Diceros bicornis minor: one gene and its partners. The protein of the gene in region 1 interacts with the protein of each later gene in a pairwise test. Links are inferred from orthologs where the notes say so. Each region holds a gene or a part of one and is shown in the gene's direction. Other genes may lie near its edges. The genes, in order: ATN1, WWP1 and LENG8.

Region 1 (9,687 bases):
GCAAGCTGGCCCAGGAGAATGGCTGGGGAGTCATGGTGAGTCATCGCTCAGGAGAGACTGAGGACACATTCATCGCTGACCTGGTGGTGGGGCTGTGCACAGGCCAAGTAAGTGCAAGGGAGATCTTTGTGGAATTGGTGGGTCTCTCCTTCTAGGTGTTTGAGGGTGTCAGGGGAATTTTAAGGGAGTATAAGTGTCCTTTCAAGGAATGAAGGGGCAGCCACTGAGCTGCTTATCTTTTGGGATGTTTCAGATCAAGACTGGCGCCCCGTGCCGTTCTGAGCGTCTGGCTAAGTACAACCAGCTCATGAGGTGAGGGAACCTGGGGAATGGGAGCCCAGGGCCCAGATGGTTAACAGGTCTGTTTGCCCACTGTTCCATCTCCAGTGTCCAGGGCCTGGAGAACAGTAGATATCCAGAAAATATTTGTTTTTGAAAGATGAGTTTACTAATAGCATGACTGATGGATCCCACAGGTTACATGGGAAAGCCAGGGAATGCTCACGCTTGCGCTAGGACACAGGAGCAGGTGGAGTGAGGGCCTTGGGGGCTGGGAGCCTCCTGGAAAGAGACCTGGATCCTCCTGCTTCCCTGACGTTTCCTTTCTGGCTCATCTCTCTCAGAATTGAAGAAGAGCTGGGGGATGAAGCTCGCTTTGCCGGACATAATTTCCGCAACCCCAGCGTGCTGTGATCCCACTGCTTACCCGGAGCCTGGAACCCTGCTCCGTCCTCCTGGAATTGCTTCCTGTCCTGCTCTGTGGTATTTCACCCCAGACACCCCGGCTGACCTGCTGCGCTGCTCCTTGGCTTGTCTGGCCCCTGCTGTCTCTGCTCTCCCCTATCTGGGTTCCACACTCTCCACTTCTCCTTCCTTTCTATTCTCTCTCCTCAAAAACTGGCCGTGAGACTGAGGATTATAAGGGGGTCCATGGAAGAATGATCAGCGTCTGTGACAGGAGCATCAGCGTTGGTTGCTGAGGTGTTTAGAGAGGGGCCACATGTCACCTTTGCTTTGTGCTGGTTTCATGTTGCATATGAACCAGGAACTGCAGAGTGCTGAGGTGGAGAGGAGTGCCGGCTGCATGGTCATGCCTGGCCTAAGACTTTAGTGTATTATTTATTCATTTATTTATTTTTTATTCATCCTGTTAATTAATTAATCATTTCCCCATAACTCCAGGGCCAAAAACTGGCCTGACTAGAGGGGACTATGTGTCTGTATTTCATGTGGCTGTAGATTCTGAGATGGCCTGGGGTGGGAGGTCTTGCTGGACTGGAAAAGGTAACAGAAAAGGGCCTTGACGTCAGTTCCGTTGTGTGTGCCAACCCTTAACTGAAGCCTGGCTCAGTCCAGAGGTGGGGCTGTGTGCCTGGGGGCTCTTCCCCGATAACTCTCTCCCCAGCCTTAGCTTCCCTCTTCTTCCTCCAGCTGCACCAGAACAATGTCTCACTCCCCCATGCCATGTTCCACAGATGCCACCACCTCTGTGGCACTGAAATGAGCACCACCATTAAAGTCTGAATCACAGTGCATCATTGTGTCTGAGGAGTCTTACTCTAGTCCATATGAAGGGAGGAAAGATGGAACACCGGGAAGCTGGTGAAACTGGATAGCAGAGCTGGGGAGGGCAGAATAAGAGGAAGAAACCGAGCAAATATGGCCAGGATGATGGCACTGCCTACCCCGGCCAGATGGGGACCACGTTGCCTTGCCTGCTCGGCAGCAAGCCTCGTCCCAGGACCCAGGTGAATTAGAGATTCTTAATCTGGAGTCCAAGAATTCTTAAAAGTATCAAACATTCTGTGTATATGTGCATTTTTTGGGGAAAGGGGTCCAAAGTATTTTCAAATTCCCAAAGGGCATTGACCAAAGAAGGGATAAAGCTGTGGACTCGAGCAGCTCCCATATCAGCCCCTCCCAAACAATCCTGGCCGCTTCTGGGATGGAACAGCACTGCATGGGCATCATCCGGTGCAAGATGTGGAACTGGGGAGGGAAGAAGGTGTGGGGGTGGGGGTGGGTGGGGTGTACAGAGGAGGGCCTGATGAACTGAGTCTTCCAGTAAACTAGTGCCCAACAGGCCCCCTTGGCTGGGTCGTGCCATGTGTGGCTGGAGACCCACTACAACTCTTCAGCTCCAGTGGAACCCCAGCATTGAGATGGGAACCCAGGAACACCGCCCCCCCCCCCCAGAAACCCCCTCACAGTGCTTCGACACCAGGGCAGAGCCCAGCCATAGAGGCTGCAGTGGGGGAGCTGTGACCACTAGAGGGAGTCAGGGTTCTGCAGGACACCATACTGCTCCCCAAGCTAGGGGAGGGGTGGGGGAGGCATTTCAAGGATGTTCCCTCTGTGGGCCTCCACTGTTTTTACTCTCAGTTCTGGTCCTGGGCTCCCTCTGCCATTCTGCCCAGCCAGGACTAGGAGAGGATTCCAGTTCTGTACGGGCAGGACCCATTTCTCTGCTCTTCTTTCTGTGTCGCTGACAACCTCAGCCATTTTCAGTTCAAAGAGCTTCTTGCCCCCTCTTCTCTGGCCTCTTAATTTCAGTGTGGGCATCTCATCTTTCCCTTCTCTTCCATGTCTCCTGGCTTCCCCTTCTGTTTCCCTTAGGGCACACTGTACTTTTCTCTGTGCCTCTCAGTTTTCTCTGGGGTCCATTATATCCGTCTTTTTTCAGTAACTCCTAGACTGAGCAGGACTATTCTGGCTAGAGCCACATTTCCTAACCTCTGCCCTCTCTTCCCTCCTTGCTAGGTTGCCTTCTCTGGCAGCCATGTCCCTCCTCAGGCACTGGGTTGGATTGGGTTTCAGCTAGCCCAGCTTGGCCTGGGCCTCCCAGGCCCCTCTCTCCACTTTCCCTTTGTGCCGTTGCCTGGAGACCAGTGGGTTGTGGGGGGCTGGGGCCCGAAAGGGAGCTGGGGTGAGAGATGGTGGGGTGTGTGTGTGTGATGTTCTCTGATGCTGAATTGTGAGCCTGGCCCTCAGGCAGAGGAGGAATTGGAGGGGGTAGACCCTGGCTTCTCTTCTAACTCTCCCCATCCCATTCCTACGTATGCCTAAATTTTTCTTTTAGGCTCAGATATGTCACCATTCTAGCGCATCTCTTAGTGGTTAAGAAATGAGGGATAAGAGCTCAGCCTGGAAGGGACCTCAGAAGGGTCTGGGCCAGGGCCCAGAGGGAGACTGAACTGAGAAGTGCAGGGGAGGAAATGCACCAGGGAGGGGAGGAGTCAAGGAACAAAGTTAGGGGTGGGGAGAAGGAGCAGGGCTATCCTAGGGCACTGAGGAAGAGAGGGGAGCAGCACAGGGTAGGGGAGGGAGGGGGCGGGAATAGGGAGCTGGCCTGGTTTCTAGAAGGCCCTGAGGGATAAGGAAGGTGGGCATGGGGTGGTAAAGTGAGTGCCAATCAATTCAAGACACTAAAGAGTGCTGATTCTTTCCTAGGCCAAGGAAGCCTTCTCGCTCAGGTTCCCCAGTGCTTTAGAATCCATTTAGAGCTTTAGGGTATTCCTAGAACTTGGCTGAGCCTGGCTCAAGGAAATACGAGGCAAAATCTGAGTTGCTACAGAGCCAACCTCCTTCTTTCCCAGAAGGCTGGTGGGATCCTGCCATTCAGGGCCCACCCCTGACCTCTAGCTGGCCTAGCCCCACACATCCCCTAACCCCACCCCAAATCTGGAGAGCTATTGAGGGCTCCAATCCAGACTCCAGCTCCAGCTCTTCCTGTTTCCCAGCCTGCCTGCCTCCCTCCCATTCTCTGGCCTTCCCAATCTCAGCTGCCAAAAATCACCCAGTGTCTTGGTGTCCTTTGTCCTGGAGATGTTGCAGCTTGGTGTGGGGCCAGGGAGGGAGCCCAGAAGAAGACACTGGTGGTGGACTGGTGGGGGTGCTGGCTTCATGGCTGAAGACTGGGAATGGCTGGCAGACTGACAGAGTCAGAGGCTGCCTGGAGAGCAGTGGGGGGAGGAGGAACGGCCTGCGGACTAGGTGGGGATTGTCTCCATATTAGAATCATTGGGCTTGGGGAACCAGGACACCCAGAGATTTGGTTCCACACTGAGCCTAATCCCCACCTGGCCCCTTCCCTGTGGCCCAAGGTACCCCATCAGTGATGACTTCAAACAAATTTGAAAAGGAAAATGGAGACACCACCAGACAGAAGGGCCTGAAGACGGTGTTACACTCCTATAAATTAATCCCTTACCTACCCTGGGGCTTACCCTCCCCATTTCTATCATTTCCTTCTGCTGTTTTCCTTTCCCATCTTCACTCGGGTCTTCCATCACTGACCTTCCCTCCTCCATATTGCCACCAAAGGCCTTGTTTATCTTACACTTCCTTCTAATCTTCTTTACCCCCCTCACTCCGCCCCCACCCCATTCAATCTACCTTGTCTTGCCTACCAAAACTCTCCTCAGCTCTTTTGGAAACCCCCCACCCCCTTCCTCCAGCCATCTCTGTGCCTTCCACCCTCCTTTCCCACTCAGAACCCCAGCCTCCCCCTAGAACATGCATCTGGCCCCACCTCCTTCATCCCTTCTTAAGGTTCCTCATGTTTTCCCTTCTTTCTCTACACTGACATCTCTGGATTTCTCTCTCCTCAGTTTTCTTTCATCATCCCCAAATTCTTATATTCCCTATTCTTTTCCTAACACTAATCACCCCCAACCTCTTTACTCTTCCAGAAACCCCATCCTCCTATATGTCTCCATCTTTTCAGTTTCTTCCCCACCTTATGACACCAAACTTCCATCCCATTCTCTCATAATTGCCCCCCAAACCTCCCCGGCTATATGTCTGCCAGAGACGCTGTCACCCCATGCTTCTTTCGCCTCCTGTCACAGACTTCATTGCCCCCAAAGCCCCCATGTAGCTCCATCTTTCCAATCTAACCCCATTACTCCAATCTCTGCCACATACATACAACCTCCCACCTCACCTCTGCCACAGACTCTTTGCCCCCCAACTTCTCCAGCCTTCCCCGATCTGCCCTTACAACCCACAGCCCCTCCTACCTAGCCCTCTCGGCGCCAGGCCCGCGGGCTCCCCACATTCCGCCTCGGCGAACCCTTCCCCGCGCCCCGGCCCCTCGGCCTCGGTCTCGGCCAACTCGCGCAGCGCCGCCCCCTCTCCGATCCCCCACTCTCCCCCCTCGCCGCTCGCCTCGCGCTCCCTCCCTCGCGTCTCCCTCCTGGCCCCTCTCTCCTCGTTCCTCCGCGCTCCCTCCTTCTCCGTCTTCCTCCCTTCTCCCATCCCCCTCTCCCAGGCTCCCTCCCTCCGCCGTCCGCTTTCCTGTGCGAGTCGCCGGACGCGCCGCCCTGCCAGCCCGCAGCCCCGCGTCGGGCCGGGGCCTCGGGCCGGGACCCGTTCAGGGGGGACCGCTGGCCTTGGGGAGGGGCTAGGAGGGGGCGCAGGGACGACCGCCCGCGCAGGGCGGGGGCCGGGGCCGCGCGAGCGCCGGCTGCGGCGGGCGGGCGCGGGCGGCGGCGGGGCAGAGCCGCGCAGAGGGCCGGCCGGGCCGCGGGGGCGAGCGGCGCGGCGGGGGCGGCGGCGCGGCCCCGGCATTCCGGGCGGCCGGGGGAGGCGGCGCGCCTGGGGAGGGGCCGAGCGAGAGCGGCGGTCGGGATTTGCTCCGGCGGGCCGGCGGGCGATCGGGGCCAGGTGGAGTGAAAAAGGGGGATGGGGGCAGCCTTCTGGGAGGGTCCGGGCCGCCGCCGCCGCCGCCGTAGCGGCGGCGACTGAACGCAGGAAGAGGAGAGGGGTGCGGGGGAGCGGCCGCCGCCGCTGCCCGGAGGCGCCGGAGCCCCGAATCCCGCTCGGAGCCAGCCAGCCGTCCCGAGCCACAACCAGGTAAGATCTGCTGCCCCCCGGGCCTCGGGCCCGCCCGGGTTCTGGCCCGTGGCTCCCCACCCCCACCCCTCCCGGTTCCCTCTCCCGCCGCCGCCTCCATTTGTTATTTTCCCGATCCGGTCCCCCCACTGTGGGCACTGCCTGGCCTGAGGGTGGGGGCTCAGGGGGTGGGGCCGGCCCCCGAAAAGGGATGGGGACCAGGGCACCGGGAGGATCTGGAAGGTGGGGGAACGTGGGAGGGTCTCAGGAGGAGGGCTGATGGGGCTAGTGGGTAGCCGGGACCCTGGCACCAAAAGAGGAACGCCGAGGTGGAGGGTTGGCGGAGGAGAAACGGGGGCTGCCCGTGAGGGGGCTTCGGGGCGAAGGCAACAAGGATGGAGAGATGGCAGCGAGGTGGGGCATGAGGGGTCCAGGAAAACCCCAAAGGCCCAGAACCCGGGTTCTATACCGGGTGCTTAGGTATAGAAGGGAAGTGGGAGATGGGGAAGGGGTGTGGTAGGTGGAAAGAGAGGGGATTGTAGCTGATGAGGGAGGAGGATGGAACCTGAGGAGAAGGAGGCCGGGAAAGGGCCAAGGAGAGGGCCACCTTTGAGAAGAAGAACTGGAGGTATTCCTGGGTGGAAGTGGGAGGGTGATGCTTTTGTGACTCAATTTTCTTTCCCCTACTCCAGGTCACCTCTGGCCTTGTTTTTCCAATTCCAGGCATAGTTACTTCTTGGAGAGGGGCACACTGGGGCCCAGTAGTGTGAGTCCTCCTAAAACTATTGAGGAGGAAGAAGGAGAGTTAGGGAGAAGGGGTTTCTGGGAGGGTGGAAACAGGCTGGGGCGGGGGGGGGGGGATTGGGCAATTTTATAGGCACGCCAAACAAGTTGTGATCTCTACCCTCAAATCCTCAGAGTGCCCACTGTCCCTCTAGCCATGGTTTCCATGGGGCGGGGGTCTTCATTACTGTTTTGAACTCAAAGATTTCCCTTTGTGCGTGGGCTTATTCCTACTGGGGTAGGTACTCTTAAGCTCCCTTCTCTGAGGGTGCTATAGGAGGATAGGAGTTGCTTTGGCAACTGGAGGGGGAGTGGCTAGCAGATGGACCCCTGGGATGGACTCTTGAGGGGCAGGTTCTGCCATTTTGTTGCCGTGGCAATGATCCTGTGGGATATCCAATAGGTGGGGGTTCAGAATATTGAGTGGACCTCAGCCTTGAGGTATGTTCCTGGGACTCTTGGCTGGGTTCTGGAGATGTTTCTGGTGCTGCTGGTGGATAGGAGATTCCCCAGGGAGTCCACCGCTTTCCATCCAGCAGTCTGTTGGAACAGGGAGACAGGTTATTTGCAGGTCATAGGTATTTCTCCAGGTCCCTCCCCCTAGGCATGGTGGGAGAATGGAAATGCTCCTGTTGAAGTTATAGGATCTTTTGGTAGTTCTTTCTGGGCTCTCTACCTCCCTTATTATTTGAGATTTTTTGTATACAGTGGTCTCTTTGCTTCCTTGCACTGATAGTCTTCCATTTGCTTAAACTTGAGTCTCCCTTTTTCTCTTTCCCAGACTATTGCCACAGTGACCCTTTTCCTCAGCTAACCTTCCACCTTCTATTTCCCTGACCTTGTAGGAATGGCTGGGCTCTCCACACCCATCCCAGGTGAGGGTGGCCCAGGGGAGAGGGCTGTGGAACAGCCTGGTGCACTGGAAATACTCGGGAACAGGAGCTGGGAGACCTGTGTCTAGTCCTGGCTGTACCTCTAACTGTGATCTTGGGCGAGTCACTTCTCTTTGTTTGAGCCTCAGCTTCATTGTAAGATGAAAGGGTTATAGAGAAGATGATTTCTTCTCTGACAACCCTCTGACAACCTGGATTCTAAGGCTTAGGACAGTCCATTGTTATCTGCTGGTCTGGGCTGCATTGTTATCTAGGAGTCACTTTGGACTGGTTTGTGAGTCTGGCGGGTCCGGAATGATGATGGGGGCTGGGCCAATGATCCTGAAATGCACCCTGCAAGCCCTTCCCAGAAAGCCTTGTGCCTCAGTTGTATTCTTTCTGACATCCTTCTCATATTTCTCCCTTAATTTCTTTTCCTGTTCCTTCTTAGAGATTCTTTCTCTATTTCTCACTTTTCCACCTTCCCAGTCTGGTCTTTATCATTTCCTTTTGCAGTAAGGCTATGAAGGTGAATGTGCTTTGTGTGTTGCCAGATACATAGTAGGTGCTCTATAAATGTTAGTCATAGTGACTGGCTCCTTAGGGCAAGATGTGTCGCTCAACTTGTTGGTGCTAAAACGTGCCCCAGGTTCAGAAACATATATGCAGCCCAATCCTAACTCCTCTCCCCCTGCCACTCCTTATTTCCAGGATTACCTACCCTTTTTATTTTTATTTATTTATTTATTTTTGTGAGGAAGACCAGCCCTGAGCTAAGATCCACGCCAATCCTCCTCTTTTTGCTGAGGAAGACTGGCCCTGGGCTAACATCCGTGCCCATCTTCCTCCACTTTATATGGAACGCCACCACAGCGTGGCCTGACAAGTGGTGCATTGGTGTGCGCCTGGGATCCGAACCCCGGCCGCCAGCAGCAGAGCGCACGCACTTAACTGCTATGCCACGGGGCTGGCCCCTACCTACCCTTTTATGACTGCTTTTCTCCTTCAAAGCTACTCATTGCTAATTTCATCAAAATTCAACAGATTAAAAAAATTGAGGTGGGGGAGGGGCACATTGGGATTGCTCTGCCCTTTTGGATCCCCAAGCCCTAACTGACTTGGTGAACAGGTTCTGTGATGGAGGGAGAGAAGGGCACCCTCCTCTAGAATGGCTGGCAAAGGCACCCAGTCACAAATAGTCATCTTTGTTATGCTTTTGTTGAGGTTGTTTTCCCCTTTTGTTATGTTGGGTCTTGTTCTTTGGATTTTTTTTGGGTTGACACTATTTTATTTATTTATTAATTTTTATTTTTTTGTGAGGATGATCAGCTCTGAGCTCACATCCATGCCAATCCTCCTCTTTTTGCTGAGGAAGATTGGCCCTGGACTAACATCCGTGCCCATCTTCCTCTACTTTATATGGGACGCCGCCACAGCATGGCCTGACAAGTGGTGCATTGGTGCGCGCCCAGGATCCGAACCTGGGCCGCTGCAGCAGAGCGCACACACTTAACGGCTACACCATGGGGTCGGCCCCAACACTATTTTAAAACCTATCTACACAACTGCTTAAAAATGTGGTAATAGTTGTAGTTGAAGAAAAATGGCTGGTTTACTGGGCAGAGCATCAGCTGTAACTTCACAAGACCTGGGGCTCTGTCCCAGCTATTTTGTGACTCTAAGTAAATTGTTATTTATTTTTTTTTGGTGAGGAAGATTAGCCCTGAGCTAACATCTGTTGCCAATCCTCCTCTGTTTGCTGAGGAAGATTGGCCCTAGGCTCACATAGGTGCCCATCTTCCTCTGCTTTATATGTGGGACGCCTGCCACAGCACAGCTTGATAAGCGGTACGTAGGTCCACGCCTGGGATCCGAACCTGCGAACCGTGGGCCACCAAAGTGGAGTGCACCAACTTAACCACTACGCCACTGGGCCAGCCCTTAAGTAAATTGTTATTAAATTTCCTGGAAAGGTTAGGCTCCCCCCTCACTGCCTGCCTCAGTAGGGTTGAGTGAGAAGTAATTACTCTGTATTCCTTGGGAAAAATATGCTATAGAATGTGGAAATGCCATTTACTTAGCCAGGCCTCCTAACTCAGAATAGGTGGGCAAGCTTACCCTGTTTCCCCCAAGGCCAGCAGCACTTCATTCAAGAACACCTACCGAAGTTAGTGGGTTTAAAGGTCAATAACAAGAA
Region 2 (9,968 bases), on another chromosome or scaffold:
CAGTCATCCAAAGGCTTGACAGAGGCTAGAGGATCCACTTACAAAGTGCCACCTATGGCCGCTCTGGGGGATCAGAATTGGCCACTTCAAAATATATCTCTTCACCTTGATTATTTTCAAGAACAAAAGACTCCGAAAGAAACTTTGACCACCCCCTCACTAACTGCCCAAAAGAAATTCAAGATAGAAGCCCTGTCCCCAGGACAGGCCATCACCATAGATAACTCTGGGTATCAATAGACTGGGAGGGTCCTTGCCAAGCCCGTTCTTATCAAAATTCTGTTCACCGAACATTTGCTTTTACATTTCCATGTGAATTTCTTTCCTCCCCTTACAAGTCCCAAACCACTACCCCCAACACCCTCCTTCGTATTTTACTGAAGATGCTATTTAAGATGATAGCCTTCACCATTTTGGTGAGTTACCCAGTTTTTCCTGGGTCTCTCCCATGTATACATGTTATAAAGCTTTGTTTGATTTTCTCCTGTTATTCTGTCTCATGTCATTTTAATTCATAGCCCAGACAGAAGGACCCAGAGTGGGTAGAGGATATGTCTTCCTCCCCTACACCGGCAAGTTGCTGCTGGCTGTTTATCAACAGGCCTTAGTTTCTCTCTGCATGGGTCTGCCAAGGACAGACTTTCTCTAGAGCAGGCAACCCAAAGGGCAAGATGGAAGCTGCAATGTCTTCTATGACCCAGCCTCAGAAGTCGCATATCATCACCTCCACAATTTCCTCCTGGAAAATCTGACACAGGTCAGCTCTATAGGGGAGGAGACTGTACAAGAGTACAGACACCAGGAAGCCAGGATCAACGCAGTCCATCTTGGAGGTTGACCACACCAGCAAGCCACAATCTAGGAAAATAGATTCACAACACATGTATCTGACAAAGGATTGGTGTATAGAATATATACAGAATAGACAAAAACAATTTGAAATGGACAAAAGATTTGAACAGACACTTCACAAAAGAAAATATACAAATGGTTCATAAGCACATGAAAAGATGCTCAACATCATTAGCTATCAGGGAAATACAAATTAAAACACACTGACTTACCACTACACACCCACTAGAATGGCTAAAATCAGAAAGGACTGGCATTACCAAGTGTTGGAGAGAAAATAGAACAACTGGAACTCCCATATACTGTTGGTGGAAATGTAAATGGTACAACCACTTTGCAAAGCAGTTTGGGAATTTCTTATAAAGTTAAATATATTCTTACCATGTGACCCAGCAATTCCACTTCTAGGCATTACTTACCCAATAAAAATGAAAATATATGTCAACACAAAGACTTTCCACCACACGTTCATAAAATATTGCGTCATAATAGCCAAAAACTGAAAACAAACCAAATATCCATCAATAAGACAAAAATTAAAAAATTTTGGCAAATCCATACAATAGTATAGTACTCTACAATAAAAAAGAAGGAACTACTGCTTCATACAACAATATGAATGAATCTCTGAAATATGCTGAGCTAAAGAAGCCAGACACAAAAAAGTACTTACTGGATGATTCCATTTATACCAAATCCTTGAAAAAGTAAAACTGTTCTCTACTGACAGAAGGCAGATTGGTGGTTGCCTAGGACTGGGGTAAAACAAGGTAAAGCAGCACCCAGATGAGCAAAGCATGTGAAGCAAACCCAGCTTTTTCACACTTACATGTGCAAGAGGGAAATTCTAAGGTGCAGGGAAAACAGGTTAGTGGAAGGTTTCTCACCTGCAGCACTATTGCCACTTTGGATCTGATAATTCTTCGTTGCTGCACGTGTGTGTGTGTGTGTGTGTGTGTGTGTGTGCTGTCCTGTGCACCAAAGGATGGTTAGCACTCTCTGGCCTCTCTCCACAAGAAGCCAATGGAAACCTCTCCCCACTCGTCCCTGCCAGTTGTGACAATCAAAAATGTTTCACAACATTGCCAAATGTCCCTTGGGATACAAAATCATCCTCATTTGAGAACCACTGGGTTAGTACATTTGGTATCGAGTGCCACGTAACAAATTATCCCCAAAATTTAGTAGCTTAAAACAATGAACACTTATCACCTCACAATTACTGTGGGTCAGGTATTTGGGAGTGACTTAGCTGGGGTTCTGGTTCAAGGTCTCTGACGTGGTTGCAGTCAAGACGTCTACAACATCCAAAGGCAGGAGTGGGGCTGGAGGATGGGGGATCTGCTTCCTAGATGGCTCCATCACATGGAGATTGACAGGAGGCCTCAGACCCTTACTGGTTGTTGGCAGGATATTCAGTTCCCTGCCATGTGGGCCTCTGAAAAGGCTACTTGATATGTCTTCATGACATGGTAACTGCATTCCACAGAGCAAGTGATCTACAAGAGAGTAGGGAGGAGTCACAATACCTTTCTAAGACCTACTCTTGGACGTGAGACACTGTCACGTCTGCTATATTGTGTCCATTAGAAGGAAGTCACTAAGAACAACCCACATTCATTTGGAGGGGAATTAGGCTCCACTTTTTGGAGGGAGGAGTATAGATGAATTTGTGGGCATACATATTTTAAAACCATAAGAGTTGGAGAAGGATTCTTTAGCAAATAAACTGGGGAAGACTGTGAGCTATTTAGAGAAAAAAGGTAGATCATCACACCAAAATAAATCCAAAAGGATTAAATTATTTTATGGAAAAAGTGAAATTGTCAAATATGTAGAAAAAAATAAAGGCAGATAAATGATATGATCTCAGGATGGAAAAGGACTTGTGAAGCAAAAAATAATAGAAGAAAATAAAAATGGAAAAGACCAATAGTTTTATCTAGAATCAATATCTACATTATATAAAGTGCCTTATTGTGACTCCCTCAGCAAGAAAATGGACAATGAACCAACAATAAGATATCATATTTGCCCATATAAAAATACACCATGATGATTTTGGCACAGTGAAGAAGGACAATCATATACTCTCGTATAGTGTTATGGGAAAATTGAGAACAAAAATTGTAACAACAGTAATTTATTGATTATGTGCCATGTAGTTCTAAGTATTTTATTTGTAGCAACTCATTTACTTTTAACTACAACATTATATGGTAGCATTATACCAATTTCCTGGTTGAGGCACAGTCAGATTAAGGAATTTGGCCAAATCTCATAGCTTGTAGGTGGCAGCAGGGTTGCCTTAGCCAATTGTCCTGATAGGCACAGTGCCTCAGGCTCACCATAATTTTAGAGGCCCATAAATGTTTTAATTTCTTTTAAAATCAGATGGAAAAAAATGGATGTTCAGGTAGAAGAAAACTTTTTTTTTAGGAAGATTGGCCCTGTGCTAACATCTATTGCCAATCTTCCCTTTTTTTTTTTTCTTTTTTCTCCCCAAAGCCCCAGTACATAGTTGTGTAGCATAGTTGTACAGTTGTAGCTCTTCTATGAGGGACACCACCTCAGCATGGCTTGATGAGCAGTGAGTAGGTCCGCACCCAGGATCTGAACCAGCGAACCCCGGGCCGCGGAAGGAGAATGCGTGAACTTAACCACTACGCCATCGGGCCGGCCCTGAAGAAAATGTTTTAATGTATAGTATCAATATATTGTCCTTATATCAATGCAGTTATAAATATAATTTTTAATATTATTTTATGGTGGAAGAGGCCACAAAGGTAAAAGCATCTAGGGTCCATGAAAATCTCAACGTGGCCCTGGGTGGCAGAGCTGTGGTTTAATCCCAGGTGATATGACATCTAAGCCTATGTTCTTCCTGGGAGGCAGCTTGCCAACATGTTTCTAGAGGGCCAAAATTGTTCATGCCTTTGATTATTTTTAAGGATTTAAATTAAGGCAGTAAGTAAGGACACGGAAAATGATTTGTGAAAAGATATTTATTCATAATAGTGTTCATCTGAAACCAAAGAAATACTTAATAATAAAAGGCTGGTTCAATATTGGCTGTCAACTTTGGGGCCTAGGTGAGCACTAGGAGCTTCTGCATGGAGGAGAACTGAGGGAGGAAGCTAAGGACTCAGGAGAGCTTGAAGTGAGACACAGTAGAGCAGGAAGTGGAAGGGGGCCTGTGTGCACTCTGCAGAGGGAATGCAGACCTCTGCTGGGTGTTTGTACGCAATGTCTGAGAGTGCACTTGTAAGTCTGTTCTTGAATTTATTTTTAAAGGAACTGGACCAACAAAAAGGTGAGGAAAAGGTTAAAGCAGAAACCAGTGAGCACAATCAGGGGACTCGGAAGAGTTTGTCATAACAGGAGAGACAGAGCACGCAAGCATGAAAGAAGCCTTGAGGATCATGTTTATTTTTGTCTTAAAAGCTCTGATGAGCCAATGAAAGATTTTAAGCAGTGGAGTGTCGTGCTCAGATGTATGTTTTGGAATAATCATTGTGGATATAGGGTGCATCAAATCCAGGTATCAAGTCAGAGGGTAGGACCTGATGTAATGGAGAGAAAGAGAATGTGCATTCATTCAGTCCAAAGATATTTATTGAACCCTACAAATATTCATGGAGTGTCAATGCTGTCCGTGGTACACAATTCTTTCAAAAGCTTGGTTATGATGGAAGAAGACAGAGAACTAGAAGGAGGTTGTAAAGTCAAGGGAAAATTTAAGACAGAAAAGTCTTAAAATGTGATTATACTGAGGAGTTGTACCCAACAGAAAGGATGAGGTTAGAGATACGTCAAGGAGGGGGTCCCAGGAGGGAGAGGTTTGCTTGGAGAGGAGCAGGGACACTCAGCCTCTGAGACAGAGCACAACTAGTAGGCTTGCGTGTGGATGTAGGTAATTTGTGGGGTTTGGGTGAGAGAGTTGGGCAAAAATTGCAGAAATCCCTGCTTGATGGTCTTCATTCTCTCTCTGAAGTAGAAGAAGTAGAAGCACAGGTCATCTGGTGAGCAATGCGGTCACCAGTGACTTCTACTTGCAGGGTGGCCTTTCTTCTAAAAGCCACACACAGAACCAACAGCCCCTCTCTAGACTAGTTGATTGGTTTGTATAAATGGGGAGAACAGACCCTTCCATATGGCACTGCTGTACGGATTAATCGCCCTGACACGGGTACCTGCTCAGTATTAGTTTTATCACTGTACTCATGGGGGCGGGAGGAGTGAACGTTTTGAGTACCAATAAAAATGGACTGGCACTCTGCTTATGACCATCCCTAAACGCTATTATTTCCTCTCCCAATGGGTTCTAAGTCAAACACTCGGTTAGGTCAAGGGGGCTATATTAACAGTCTCCTTTTGCTGTAAAGCGTTCAAGAACTGAACGCCAGCGCCCCACGACCTCACTTGAGGTCACGCACAGGTCCGGCCTCGAACCCGAGACTCAGGTCTGCAGCAGCCTGCCCCGCCGCCGCCCCCGGCTCGGGGAAGACTCCTCCCAGTCTGGGCCGCGGCCCCGCCCCTTCCAGGCTCAGGCCCCGCCCCCCTCTCCCATTGGCTGGCCCCTCGGCCGCTCCGAAGACCCGGAGGAGCGGAGTTTCCCAGACGCGTCGTCGCGCCGCCTCACTGCGCATGCTCGCGGGAAGCCGGATTCCGGTCCGGAGCGGGAGGCTTGGGCGGCCGCGGCGCCGCGCGCGGGGCGGGGCGGGCGAGAGGCGCGCTCCCGCGGGGGTGGGGCGGGCGTCGGCGCGCTCCCGCGGGGCTGTGGGGTCGACGCGGGCGGCGGCGGCGCGCGGCGTGCGGGCTCCGAGCGGCGGAGGCGGCCTGGCGGCCGGGGCCGCGCTGCTGCGAGATGGCGCCCGTGGGCGCGGAGGGCTGAGGCGCCGCCGCCGGAGGAGGGCCACCGGCCGACGGCGTCGCGCCGGTGAGGACGCCGCGGCGGGCGGCGGGCGGCTGAGGCGGCTGAGGCGGGGCGGGACCCTCGGGGGGCGCGGGCCGCCCTGCGGCGCCGGGAGAGCGGGCGCGCGGGGCCGGGCCCGAGCGCTGGCCGGCGAGGGGCGTGCCGGGAGTCGCCCGGCCCTCCGCCCGCGGCTCCGCTCCGACGCCGGCGGGGCCCCCCGCACGGCTCCGTCGGACGGGCTTCCCGCGCGGTGCGCTCCGGCCCCCGGCCCCCGCCCCCCCCCCGGTGACCTGGGAGGTGCGGTGACCTTGCAGTTTTGACTAGTCCTCAGCTCGTCGGTGACTTGCACCTTCTCGTTTCATCTCTGTTTTTGAAATTCTCGTCCTGCGCTGTGCCCGCTGCCGCTGCAGCCTGCGCACGAGCAGCCTGGGCGCGGGCTGTCTCCCCACCGTGGTTCGGGTGGGCTCCGTGGGCCCCCGTGATGCTGCGACCCCTTCCGTGCCGGGGAGGGGGGTGTCTGTTACCTTGACGTTTGCAGTCTTCCTGGGAGAGATGTTTTCCAGGGCCTCGATGTCGCTTTCTTGTTTGTTTGATAAGTTTTTATCTTTCTGTGTAGGCTAACGTGCGAGAAAGATTTGAGCGTCTGCTTCCAAGTGCCATTGGTAATAGGAGTGGGCAGGAATTACACCCGAAGTTCTCCTTTCCCTCCCTGTGCTGTTCTTGCCCGAAATTCCTAGTGGACAGTGGTCTGCAGATTTCTACAGGAGCACATGTTTAAGTCGGCCTCACCTGCCTCGCTCAATCGCCGTGTGTGGGGCGAGCAGAACGCGCCTTTTAAGAAAGAAAGGCGTTCTTTTATTTATGTGACTTGCTGTTAGCCATCAAGTGGCACGTTATCTGTGACTGGAAATGGTCACTTTTCGTAAGAAGTTACTATTCTTTCAGTTGAAAACTTAGCGGCCAAGTGTTGGGAGCTGCTCAAATCAAGAAGTGTCGAGTGTGGGGAAGAGTTCTTCGGGCTGTAGCTTATTCACATGTTCACATGGTTCTTCCCTTAAAATGCAAAAAGGTCTCTAAGACCTACCACACCAGGGCTTTGAAAAGCAGTAACTAAGGGTTATGTTTTTTGTAAGCCTCGCATGATAGAGAATGTCGCTGAGAAGGTCTTTGCCTTCAAGGAAATAGTCGTCTTTGCTGTTTACCCCGCGAAGGCTGGAATTTCTTTTGCCTCCTTGCACAGTTCTTAGCCTCTGCTGCATGACTGTGTGAGGTGTTTGGGGGAATATAAAGATGAAGATGATACCAGTTTCTGCTTTCACAGACGAGGTAGGCACGTAGGACTGTACACAAAGGCCTCGTTTGTCTTTTAACATATAGTTAAGTTGCGTAGAGAATTCACATTCAGAGCGGGTAGAGCCCACATCTGATTTGGCAAGGTGGGGTTAGTTCATAGAGCTGGCTTCTGAAATCTTTGTTTTGAAGGATGACTGACTCGGGATAGGCTGGGAAAGGTAATCCAAGCAGAGAGAAGGGACTGAGAGCACCGAGGTCAAACACTTGGGGAGGAGCAGGGCATTATGTTTGGATGGGACACACGGTGTGTGTGCTGGTAGAAAGGGTAAAGCTTGAAGTAAAAATCTGGACCGGTTTATGATTGTTGTATATGCCTGGCTAATGACCTTGGATGGGGGGGGGTGTCTTACAGATGATTTTTGAGTTGAGAATGAAATGATTAAAGCCTAGCTTTCAGAGGATTAATCTGGCATCAGCGTGTGGAGTGAATTGAAGTAGAGAGACCCTGGGGTAGGAAGGCCTTGATTGCTGTGGTTGTAGGTAGTGAGGGTCTGAACTGCAGCACTAATAATAGGAGTGGGAAGGAGGAAGGAAGTAGAAGAGACAGAATTTGATGAGAGAGGAAATGAAGAAAGTAAAAGATAGCTAAGATTCCCATCCAGGTTGATTGGGAGAATAGTGGTACCATTTTGAACGACATCCATGGAAGCTTTATCTTGGGCATATGTGTGTTACTTTATAGCAGTGGTTCTCAGCCTTTTGGGGATTACTAATCCTTGAAACTAAAATCTGCTGGCCTGGGAAATTTCCATGTGCACCTGTGCTTTGTGGATATAATTTTAGGGGAGTCCATGGACCACCTGAAGCTCATCCATGTAACCCATGGGCCAGTGGATTAGTCTGGGAGCTGCTCACAGAATTACTGGGGGCTTTTTAAGGCAGTAGAGCCTTCAGATTCTTCCACTTAGTTGATAAGAACCCCTACTGTAGAGACAGACTGTAAATACACCTAGAGACAGTATCTCCTTACACTTGTGTTGTGGTTTACAGTTTACAGAGGATGTGGACTAACTTATATTATTTGCTGTTATATTACAGAACAGACTAGCCCAAGAGGTTAAATAATTTGCCCGAAGTATTTCAGTTAGCAAGTGGGTGAATTGGAGTCAAAAGTTGATTGACAATGATGGTTTTCTTTGTAGGAAGATAAATGCAGCTGATTTACCATCGACTGGATATAGTTACTGCCTTTAAGTGACCTCATCAGTAAGGTCTAGATGATCCTGGGAGGTTTCTTCCAGTTTTTGACATTTTGCTATTGGTCTTAGATTTTCCTTGAACTATCTGTACCCTTCTTGTTTTCCATGTGCAGGGTTGCTGGTGAGGCTGAGGAATGGATTGGGTGTATGGAGAGCAGATGGCAATATCAGACCAGTCATTTACTTACTTATTTTCTTTGTATCTCAGTTTGGGTTGGGGCAGGGGAGGAGGGATGTGAAGTGAATGAAATAAGAAGCTTTAAGAACTTTTTTCTGTTCAGGTATGCCTTACTTAAGAATACCCTGTCCTTCATTCAGGAAGCCTGTATCAAGTAAAAACTGAAACTTTATAAAATAAATGAAGTACAGGGTCGTATCAGTGAATTTTTTCATTGGATTAAGTAGCTGACTCTCCCTAGTATGGTTAAAGCATAATTTGATTAGTAAACAATTGACCTTTCTGCACCTATAAGATGATCTTCCTGGTAGGGAACCAGAACAGGTTATTACGTGGTATCTTTTATAGCTCTAGAAACTGATTCCATAATGATTAGAAAGACTGGGGTCTTTTTTACCCTATAAAAATATGATGTAATTGTAACAAGCAGTGGAAAAACAAATAAATTGGCCTTTATAGTGGTGTTGAAGGACCTAGTTACTAATACGTAATGGAGGAAAAATGTCTAATGAAAGCACATACATAGACGATTTTTTTATTCTCTCCTGGCATTAAGAAGAGTATCATATATTAGTATAGCATTTTACATTTTTTCATAATGGTTGTATAGACTTTATCATTTGATTCTCATGACAGCTGAGCACTAGTGTGTCGGGAGATAATCATTGCTTTTTAGATGAAAACACTGAGGCTCAAAGAAGTTATAAAAAGTTAAATTTCCAGGGTATATGGCTAGTAAGTGGCTAAAATTAGAACTAGAGCTAAACCCATATTTTTGTTCCTAGGTCAGTGTTCTTTTCCCACTGACTCTTCATCTACAATGGAAATTTAACTGAAGGCTGTTGTGAGGAGATGGAGTTTACCTGTTTGGAATCTGTTAAACTTCTGTACTGTGTAGATCTGAACTTGTCTGTTTCCTCCTTTGTGTTAAAATGGTAACCTCATTGCAGTGGCTGTTGGTAGGTAATTTTGAAATTTGTATTTATCACAAATGGTTATTTTCCTGTCAAGGAAAAAGCAAAAGTTGATTTTTTTGGTCTGAAAAAGTACATTGGTGAAATGTAGGTATTAATTTCCTTTTGAAAATTTGTTGATTTTAGTTCAGCTGCTTTTACAGATGAAGTTTGTTCTCCTTTTATAGACGTGTAGTTTATGAAAATTTGTGTTTTTGGAGCATATAAATCGGGATCTGATTTCCAAAATATATATCATGATATTTCATGATTTTACCATTACATAAAAAGCTTTATCATTTAAAAAAAAAAGATTTACCATTAAAAAGTTCTTAGTATACACTTCAAATTCATGTTTAAACAACTTTTTTTGGAGTATATTATGTAAAACCATGTATCAGATAATTCCTAAATTCTAAGGAAGGTTAATGTTTGTCTTGACATTCCTTCAACCTATTGTTTGTTCACATATTGATGTTCCTCCTACGTGCTGCACACTGTGCTGGTACAGTGCTGGG
Region 3 (9,625 bases), on another chromosome or scaffold:
CTCTCCCCCCACCCCAGGATTATGGTGCAGCCCTGCGGGGCTTGTGTGAAGACGCCCTGGAGGGCCTGCTCTTCCTGCTGCTCTTCTCTCTCCTGTCTGCCGGGGCCCTCGGCACCGCCCTCTGCAGCCTGCCCCGCGCCTGGGCCCTCTTCCCACCCAGGTCAGGAGGGGAGAGAGGGCAGGGTCCTGGAGGAGGGGGCAGGAGGAGGACTCTCAGGCCACTGTTGGGGGGGCAGCCTCCTGATGGATCCCCCATCCTGTTTCTCTGCCACTCCCCCCATCACACCCCAGTGACGACTACGATGACACAGACGATGACGACCCTTTCAACCCTCAGGTACTGGACTCCTGGGTCTGAGGGAGGAGGGGCCAGGGGCCTGGACTCCCGGGTCTGAGGGAGGAGGGGCCGGGGGCCTGGACTCCCGGGTCTGAGGGAGGAGGGGCCGGGGGGCCTGGACCCCTGGGTCTGAGGGAGGAGGGGCCGGGGGCCTGGACCCCTGGGTCTGAGGGAAGAGGGGCTAGGAGCCTGGATTTCTGGTCTGAGGGAGGCGGGCTGAGGGCCCACATTACAAAGCCAGATTCGTTGGTCATGTCCCCTCTCACCCAAATCTCCCCAGCAGGAATCCAAGCGCTTTGTGCAGTGGCAGTCGTCTATCTGAGCCCCTCCTCCATGCCAGACTGCAGCCTACCCCCCACCTCCGGTGAGCTGCCAGAGCGACACCCCAGCTCCCAAAGCCGGCCTCTGCCCTCCTCTCCCTCACTCTGGGCACGGTGGTGGCCCTCCCACCTGCATCTGGTGCCCTGTCTCTGCCTCTCTCTGCAGTTCCTTCCCTGGCTGCTGGAGAAGACCCCACTAACCCAGCCCAACTGGGCTCCCACCACTAACAACGCCGCTGGCCACGGACACCCCAAATAGGACTGCTCCCCTGTCCTGCCCCCCTCTTTGTGTCCTAACCCTTGGGAGTAAGCTGAGGGGGCAGCCAGGGCCCCGGACTGGCCAGGGAGGGGCAGCCAGCCAGCCTCACACCCCCTCACCCCTGGCCGCCAGGCCCATCCTTGAAGGGACACGAGTGCCCCCGCCCCTGCGGTGCCCCAGTGGGCTTAGGGCCCTTGATCTCAACTTGTGGCACTAACTTGGGAATGGGTTGGTTTGAAATAAAAGGGAAGACTTTATTTTACAAGGATCTGGGTCCTTCTTATTTGTCCCCTCCTGGTTCTGGCCTCCTAGTTAGGTCCGGGGAGATCCCTTCCCCTCAGCCTCCTGGCTGCCGGTGTTTCTGCTCCTGTCCAGGCTTTGCGGCGGTTCCAAAGGGATTGTTCTTTTTAAAAAAAAAAATAACTTTTTTTCTCTGGTTTTAAAAGCAGTACATGTGTCCTGACACAGGACGAGGTGGACATCCCTGGAACAGAATAGATAGCCTGGTAATAGATCTCAGTGTTTGTATAGATGACAGAAGACAGACTGCAGGTCAGGGTGAGAAGGACCGTTTGGTTTCGAAGCACTGCTGACTTAACTGGCTCTCTGTCTGGAAATACATACGAGATGGGTGAAAAATCTAAGTGTATACAAGTAAAGGGATGGAAGCATTTCAAGAGAAAGTAGGAGAATTCTGTATATTGTATATCTTGCTTGGAGGGGGAGGATTTTAAGCAAGATATCCTAAAGCCGAAAAGGAAAAGGTAACATTTGACAAATTGTGGAACGAAAAAAATGCTGTCAAGAGGCAAATTGATAGTCTGGGGAAAATTGTGGGTTTTTTTAACATATATGGCAAAGAAATATATAATTCTTAATATATAAATATAATCTACAAAGCTTCCACAAACTAAGAAAAATACAACCCAACTTAAAAATAAGCAACTAAGATAGACATTCAATGAAGTGAAAATCCCATCACCAGTGAAAACGAAAAACCATTCAAACCATAATAATTAGGAAGTGCAATTTGAAACAACCACAAACTTTTTTTTCCACCACCTAGTTATCACGAAATTAAAGGAGCACTAACATTCCATGCTGGCAAGGATGTGGAGGAACCAGGCACCCAAACGCCCTGCTCCCGAGGCTGTGAACTGCAACACGAAAGAAATAATCTGCTCCTGTGTGATAAAATCAAACTGTATAGACCCTTGAGCCGGCAGTCCTACTTTTGGGAATCAATTTATGGAAAGAAAGCAGAGGCATCTGAGGACATATGTCAAGGACTGTTTGCTGCAACCATCAGCTAAACTCTGGAAACTAAAGTCCACAGAAAGACGACATGTCTGATAAGTCACCCTACAGCAGGGCTCTCCAGAACACGACAGCTCCTGGCTGGGCCTGGGATTTCAGGGAAAGCCTGAGAGAGGAGGGATTTGAGGTGGGTGTGACAATAGCAGCAGAGCAGACAAACACAGAGGAGGCCGTGGTTAAGCCCTGCCTGCTCTTTACCACCAGTTGGCCGTGGGCAGTCACCTGACCTGTTGGACCTCAGCTGCCTCAGCCATCAGATGGGTCATGAAAGACAGCTCCCCCGTCCCTCCTCTGCAGTTCTGAAATCCAAAGAGCTGTGTTAGACCAAACGTCCTCCCTTAACTCCCTGGGCAGCAGGACCTGACCCGACCTGGCATGAGGTGACTTCCAGACTATCTCCCTGCCTGGTGTGAATGTTCATCTGTTTCCCTGCAGAAACTGATGGGGTTACTTCCAAGTGCTGTGAAGGGTGCTGTGGATGTGGTGTGCCACATGGAACATAAACCATGTTGTCTCTCAAAACTTTGAAAAATCCTGGAGCCCCAAGACACATATATGGCCCTGAGGGTTTCGGGTGAGGGCTGGTTGGCTGAGTGTCAGATGCGGGTATCCAGCATAGGGCCTGCCATGGGGGAACCGCTCTGTGCTTGCTAATCATTTCCATCCTGTGCACTGCAAGGAGTGTTCAAGAGAGCTTTCAGTGTGTGGCCCTGAAGCTAGGAAAGAGAAATGGACTATAATTTCCTGTGAAGGGCTCTGGGGGCCACCTGTGTTGACTCACTTGCTTCTCAAGACCCGGTGAGCTGACCCTGGGGCCAGCCCTGCTGCTAGTCTGGCTGTTTTGCTCTCAAACACTGCCCCCTAGTGACTCTGAGTCCAGCGCGATGTGTTGGATTTCGCAAAGTACCCTTGAGGTTCAGGCCGCGTGATTTCCTGCCAGCTGGCCTTCCAGTGATCTTTAATCAGGAAGCTTTACCCAAGAAAAAAGGACATTTGCCCAATCTTTACCAAAGTAAATCTATAAATTTAAAATCTATCATTTATTTTTAAATGATACCTATGAGGACTCCCACTTCTGACCAAGATAGACTAAAAGGGACTGGATCTGCTCTCCTTCCTGAGACAACCAAAAAGCCAGGCAAAATTCGTGAAAGAACGGTGCTCAAGACTCGGGACATCAGGCAAGGAGGGAGAGTGGTCCCTGAGAGATGGGAAATATCAAGGTGATCCCTGAAATCACCAGTCTGTCAGAAGAGAGTTTCCCACCACAGTGCAGGGGAGGGGCCCCGAGGCAGAGCACCTCCCAAAGGCCCCACCTAAAACTGCTCTAAAAAATAAAGTCTATTTTTAAAAAAATGCTCAAAGCAAAAGAAGGCAGAAAAAGAGGAAAAGGGGAATAAAGAAAGATGGAACAAATAGAAACTCGATGGCAAGATGATGAGTTTAAAGGGAACCAAACCAATAGTCACACCAAAAGTACAGTTATAAGCACCTCTTTTAAAACGCAGAGATTGTACATTTGAGTAAAAAGAAAGATCCAGCTATATGCCGTCTACATGAAAACCCCCTTAAATATAACCCTGAAATGTACATGGATGCTAAATGCAGTGGGGTACCCTGGACTGGACTCTGGCACATAAAGGAGACGTCAGTGGAAAAAGTGGTGAAATTCAGATAAAGCCTGCAGTTTAGTTAATAGTCACGTGCCAATGTTGGTTTCTTCCTTCTAACAAACATACCACAGTAAAGTGAGATGACAGCATTAGGGGAAACTGGGTGTAGGGTACGTGGGACCTTGAACTATCTCTGCAGCTTTTTTGTAAGTTTAAAATTATTCTAAAACAAAAAGTTTAATAATAAAAAGTAAAAGAATGGAAAAAGGTCAACTATGTGTCGATGCAAATAATCGGTAATCAATCTATAAATCAAATGGGGGTGAGTTTATGATGAGCCAGTCCTGAGGATCACATAGCCGGGGAGAGTACCTTCACCAAGGAAGAAAGCTCTCTGAAGCAGCGGGGTATACAGAGTGGTTATAGACTCTTTTGGAACAAGGAATATACATCAGTTATGCCAGGAATATCTTTTACTACAGTCACAGGATACTTGCTAGCACAGCAGGTCGACGGTAATGAGATGAGCTAAAGCAGGATAGTAATTAACCCTTAATTTCTAGGAAGAAATGCTTATCTTGAAAGAAATACTGATATGAGGGGAGGCAATATCCCTATCTTCAAGGGCATCATTCTCCGCTTTGGGTCATTGTAAATGTTCAAAACAGATGGACAACGCATAGTCGACAGGCCAGGTCAACCCTTTCTGGAAAAACAAGGTCAGGCTGGATTAGTTTTAAACCAAACGGCTTCCTCACATACTCCAATGTATCTTACTGCTTTTTGGTTATTCATCATATGCTAACAGTAACAAAATGATACATACACCAAGAGAAAAGTCTATAGTAACAGAAAGTGGGAAGGAACTGGCCTCTGAAATACTGTTCTATCACCTACTGCGACTCCAGTGACCGCTCCCTGAACTGGACTGGATAATTTTATCAGCCCGAGTCCTGCATGGAAACAGATGGCATGCTCAAAAGGTGACTTGCAAGGAGTTTAAAGGAAGGCCAAACTCCTTAGACTTTCAGGATCTGCTACTGGCCTAGCTCTTCACGCCAGGAGGCCACACACTTCCATCCTATACCTGCTCCGAGCATTCTCCCCGACCTACCCTTGTTTCCCGCCTCTGAGTGTTTCACCAGGCCGTTCCCTCCGCCGGGTGCGCCTTCCCCGTTTTATCTAGTAGGGAAGCTCCCCTTTCCAAGGGGAGACTGTTCTCACCCCCTTTCTCTGAGTTCATTGTCTTCCCCGGGCCTTCCGCAGCACTGTACGGTGGGTAGTTTTACAACTCTCATCACCCTAGTCTACACCTAGAGATAAGCAAGGCTACCGCGAACCGAGGCCCCACACGGCTGCGCGGAAGGGCGCAGGGTCCTACAAGCCTGCGGCGCCTGTCCCCTCGGGGCCACCATCCCCCCGCCCCGTTTCCGGCTTGCCTTTAAAGTGCCCACCGCGTCATTGCGTAGGCGGGGGGGGGGGGGAACGGGCTCAGATCAAGGTTGCGGCGGCCATTGGCTGTGCGGCGGGAGGGAGGCGGGGCGAGGCCTCCGTGTGACGTCATCACGCCGCGGTCGGGACTTCGGAGCCCTAGGAAGACAAGAGCCAGCCGGGTCGGGAGCACTCTCGCGGCCGTGTTGCTCTCGCTTTGGGCCGCTGCTGACGATTCCCGGGGCGATCGGCCGAGGTGGGTGTGGGGAGCTGCGGGCCGGCGGGCGGGCGTGGTCGGCGTCTCCTTTCGGCATTACTCCGCGCGGGCCCGGAGGCCTCGGCGGCTGTCGCAGCAGCGGACGCCGCGCGCGAGCGGCGACAGGGTGTGGCGGGCCGGAGCGGCCACTGCGCCTGCGCACCCGCGCGCCTGCGCCGTGGGCCCGGCTGCCGACCCCGCCCTCGGAATTCCGGGGCCCGCGCGCCCCCGCCCTCAACACCCATTGACCGCGCGATTCCAGCCGCGGGGCGGCGTTGTCCCGGGCGACGGGCGGCTCCTGCGCCGGCTTTTTCCCCGGGGCGGTGGCTCCGGAGCCAGTCGCGGGGGCCGAGGTGGGCTCTTCCTGCAGCCGGTGCCCCTGCTCTGCGTTCTCCGGGCCTGCGGGGCGGCCAAGTGCCCCTCGCCTCCCCGGCCTCGCGTCCGGTTCCTGCCTCCACCCTTCAGACTCGCCAGGACGCTCACTGCAGGCCTTCCTCCCCTATTTCCTACCCTCCCCCGTCCTCTTGTTTACTCTTTAAGGCCTTTCTTTTCTAGGGCTGTTCCCAGCTCCAGACTTCTGTTCCTGCTCCCTCACTTCTACGATTTTCAGGTTCTCCAGTGAGACTCGCCTTGGAGCCCACCCATACTTCTCAGTTATCCCCCCAAGTTCAGGCCCCTCAGTCTTTGCCTCCAAGACACCCCTTCACTTTCTTGCAGTCCTCTCCACCCCCGTCTCAACCTCCTAAAGATGTTCTGGATCTCTTCAGGCATCCCTGAAGCTTACTTTCCAGACCCCCAATCGCGGGGCTGCCTCTTCTCCTTCCTGGGCCTACCCCTCCTTTTAGGAACCTGCCATGTAGGGTTCTTCTGTGCCCTTAGGGGACCTTCCTGTAATTAGTCTCTTAAAAGCTTTTCAAGAACCCATTTCTTCACTGCGGGGTTCCCCTTGGGCACCCTCAACTTCTCCCTGTTTCCAGGAGTAACTTATAGAAATCCCCTTTTCCTTTGATTTCTTTTTCTGTTCTCTGGTATTCTCTTCTCTCAAGGCTCCCTCAAACCCTTCCCTCTTTACAGAGTTCCCCTCAGAAACCTTTCAGCGTCCGCCAGCCTTAGGAGTTCACTCAGGCTTTGCTCATCAGGGCGTCCTCTTTCTTCTGCTTCCTCTCTGGAATTCCTCTTGGACTCCTTACCCCTTGACTGAGGTCCCCCCAGCCTACCCTCTGGACCTCCCTCTTATCTGTCTCAGAGTTTCCCTTGAACCACCTTCCCCTTCCTCCTATGTGTTTCAGATCCTTCTCCTTCCCTTTGGGAAATTCCTTCAGACATCCCTGTTTTCAGATCCTTCATTTCCCACCTAGAGCACTGCAGGGAGGCCAAGGTCTTGCCCTCTTACTGTAGCCCTTTTAATTGACACCCAGAATTCTCTTCAGATTTTTTACCCCAGTGGCTCCTTCTTTCTCAGACTCCCCCTTTCTGCCTAGCTCCTCTGAGTCCATCCACTTCTCTTCCTGTTTTTGTGACATGTCTCTTGCTCCTTCTTGAGTCTCCCTAACTCTTTTCTTTTTCTCGTAGACAGTGAAAAAGCAGTCTGGCTCCCGAGGTCCACCCCTTACACCCCAAGGTCCAGATGGCGGCCAACGTGGGTGATCAACGGAGCACAGATTGGTTAGTGGGGCTAGTGGGACAGAAGCTGGAGGGGAGGGCGAGAGGACGTGAGAGCCAGTGTTGTCCTCTGGGATGGCCCTCCCACAACAGCGTGGGGGAAGTGATGCAGCAGTCCCTGTGGGCAGCGGTGGGGATGACGCCCTCCTCTGGCCTCAAGCATAAAAGGAAGCATGTGGTCATAGTGTGAAGAGGGTTGGGTCTTCACCTCTCTGAACTTTCATATTTCACAGTGCAGTGCTTGTTTCACAAGATTGTGATGATTCATTCATGAACTATGATTGGAGGCGGTCTCCAACACTTAATACTCAAGCATTTATCTTTTTGTTAATTGCTTGTTTTTTCCACCGCATTGTGATAATTACCTGCTGGCTGGGGTAGCGTCAAACGGAATTCTTTGATTCATAAAACATTTACACCTCTTAGGCGCCAGGTTCCATGTTTACTTCTGTGGACACTGGTAATTTTTTCATTTGTTTGATTTTTATTGACTGATTGAGGAAGATCAGCCCTGAGCTAATATCCATGCCAATCTTCCTCTTTTTGCTGAGGAAGACTGGCCCTGGGCTAACATCCATGCCCATCTTCCTCCACTTTATATGGGATGCCGCCACAGCATGGCTTGACAAGTGGTGCCTCTCGGTGCGCACCCGGGATCCAAACCCGGGCAGCCAGCAGCAGAGCGCGCGCACTTAACCGCTACGCCACGGGGCTGGCCCCCTGTTTGATTTTTAACAGCTATGTATCAGGCACCTGGAAAAGTACCTTAGGTAGGTAGTCTCATTTATCCCTCAGAAAACTGAAGCAGAAACTAATTGTCAGCATTACCATAGATTAGGAAATCTAGGCTCTTATAGATGGAGAGAGGGAGATCCGGGATTTGAGCTCTGGTATTTCCCTGCCTCCGTCTTGCCCACTGTGTGCAGTGGGGAGAGGAGACTGACTCGACGTCCTCTCTCTGCAGGTCCTCCCAGTACAGCATGGTGGCGGGGGCGGGCAGAGAGAACGGCATGGAGACGCCCATGCACGAGAACCCAGAGTGGGAGAAGGCCCGCCAGGCCCTGGCCAGCATCAGCAAAGCAGGAGCTGCTGGCAGCTCTGCCAAGGCCAGCAGCAATGGGCCGGTGACCAGCGCACAAGTGAGAGGGCCGCACGGGCCTGGGCACGCTGCACGGGGGGCTGCTGGGGGAGGCACACATGTGGTGTCTTTGTATCACTGGACACAGTGCTCTGAAGAGATTGTAGGAGCTTTCGGGTAGGGGAAGCAGGTCTGTTTCCTTGAAGAGTCGGAGGTACCATGTGGTCCTTGCCCCTGGGAACCTAACCTGAAGAGCGAGGCGTGCCTTCAGTGCCCCGAGTCCGAGGTAGAGGCAGTGGCTCTCTGTGGAGAGATGTGGACCCAGTTCCACTCCGGCAGTTGACCACCAGAAAGTCAGCCTGCCCTTGTGGGGGCTGTGGGGCCCGTGGGTTCCTGCTGCCAACGCTGATGGCGTGTGGGCCTCTCTTCCCACAGTACGTGTCACAGGCAGAAGCCTCGGCCCTGCAGCAGCAGCAGTACTACCAGTGGTACCAGCAGTACAACTACGCCTACCCTTACAGCTACTACTACCCCATGGTAGGTGCCCAGCCCGGCAGGGATGGGTGGGTGAGGAGCTGGGCTCAGTCAGGATGGGTCCAGAGTAGTTAGTGGGTTGAAGTCAGCAGTGACAACCGCTGAAAAGCCCTCCACTAGCTTATTGCCCACGAGATAAATCCCCGGTCCTGCCTGTGGCCCGCCAAGTCCCACGTTACCTGGTTCTGGCCACCTTTCCCCGCATGCTCGCTGACAGTTGCCACAGAGACCTCCTCCATCTCTGCACACACCAGGTCCACTCACACTCTGCTCTGCTCTGCTGCAGCTCTCTTCCCCTGTTCCCACGGCGCCCTGTGTCCCCGCCTCCTGGAGGGCTGCCCAGATGTCACCTTCAGAGAGCCCTTTCCTCTGGCAAACTTAGTCATGTACAGGGCTGTCCCCCGCTCACCCTGTTGTCTCTGTCTTTATTTGGCCTTCTTTTACTTGCCGCTGGATGTGTTACGTGTTTGTCTACGACTGAGCCTAGGTTTTGAGTGCAAACTTGTTAGAGCACAGGTTTAGTCTTTTATATTTTGTTCTATTGTAGTGCATAGAAGAGTTGGCACTCAGTAGATATTTGTTGAATAGAGAGAAACTTCTAAAAACTAGTGGAAGTGGGGTATGGAATTGATAGCAGTTTTCATTTTATTTACTAATTTTTTTAATATAAGATAATTTGATGCATTTATGCGGTGGAGGGAGAAAGAGGGGTGAGAGATGAGTGGAGAGTCACAAGTTGTGTATGGCTCCTGAGTGGCAGGAGAAGGGGGCAGGCCTAGACCTTACGGCAGGAATTGGGCCTGCCCCTAACCCTCCTT

The links.
Region 2: the proteins of ATN1 (region 1) and WWP1 interact in a two-hybrid assay, tested with the Homo sapiens proteins (2 studies listed by BioGRID and IntAct). The link is inferred for Diceros bicornis minor from reciprocal best matches to the Homo sapiens genes ATN1 and WWP1.
Region 3: the proteins of ATN1 (region 1) and LENG8 interact in a two-hybrid assay, tested with the Homo sapiens proteins (2 studies listed by BioGRID and IntAct). The link is inferred for Diceros bicornis minor from reciprocal best matches to the Homo sapiens genes ATN1 and LENG8.

Annotation. Positions count from the first base shown.
Region 1 is NC_080756.1:54,837,012-54,846,698, reverse strand, and holds the start of ATN1 (atrophin-1), read left to right. Parts: upstream 1-5,133; 5' UTR 5,134-5,856; intron 5,857-9,687. Other genes in the region: ENO2 (gamma-enolase), read left to right, coding at 1-107, 254-312, 624-693. UniProt on the Homo sapiens protein: Transcriptional corepressor. Recruits NR2E1 to repress transcription. Promotes vascular smooth cell (VSMC) migration and orientation. Corepressor of MTG8 transcriptional repression.
Region 2 is NC_080772.1:36,150,156-36,160,123, forward strand, and holds the start of WWP1 (NEDD4-like E3 ubiquitin-protein ligase WWP1), read left to right. Parts: upstream 1-5,669; 5' UTR 5,670-5,791; intron 5,792-8,563; exon of another isoform or gene 8,564-9,456; intron 9,457-9,968. UniProt on the Homo sapiens protein: E3 ubiquitin-protein ligase which accepts ubiquitin from an E2 ubiquitin-conjugating enzyme in the form of a thioester and then directly transfers the ubiquitin to targeted substrates.
Region 3 is NC_080773.1:32,059,541-32,069,165, reverse strand, and holds the start of LENG8 (leukocyte receptor cluster member 8), read left to right. Parts: upstream 1-5,430; 5' UTR 5,431-5,533; intron 5,534-7,105; 5' UTR 7,106-7,160; coding exon 7,161-7,198; intron 7,199-8,159; coding exon 8,160-8,334; intron 8,335-8,708; coding exon 8,709-8,810; intron 8,811-9,625. Other genes in the region: TTYH1 (protein tweety homolog 1), read left to right, coding at 18-160, 621-701, 824-857.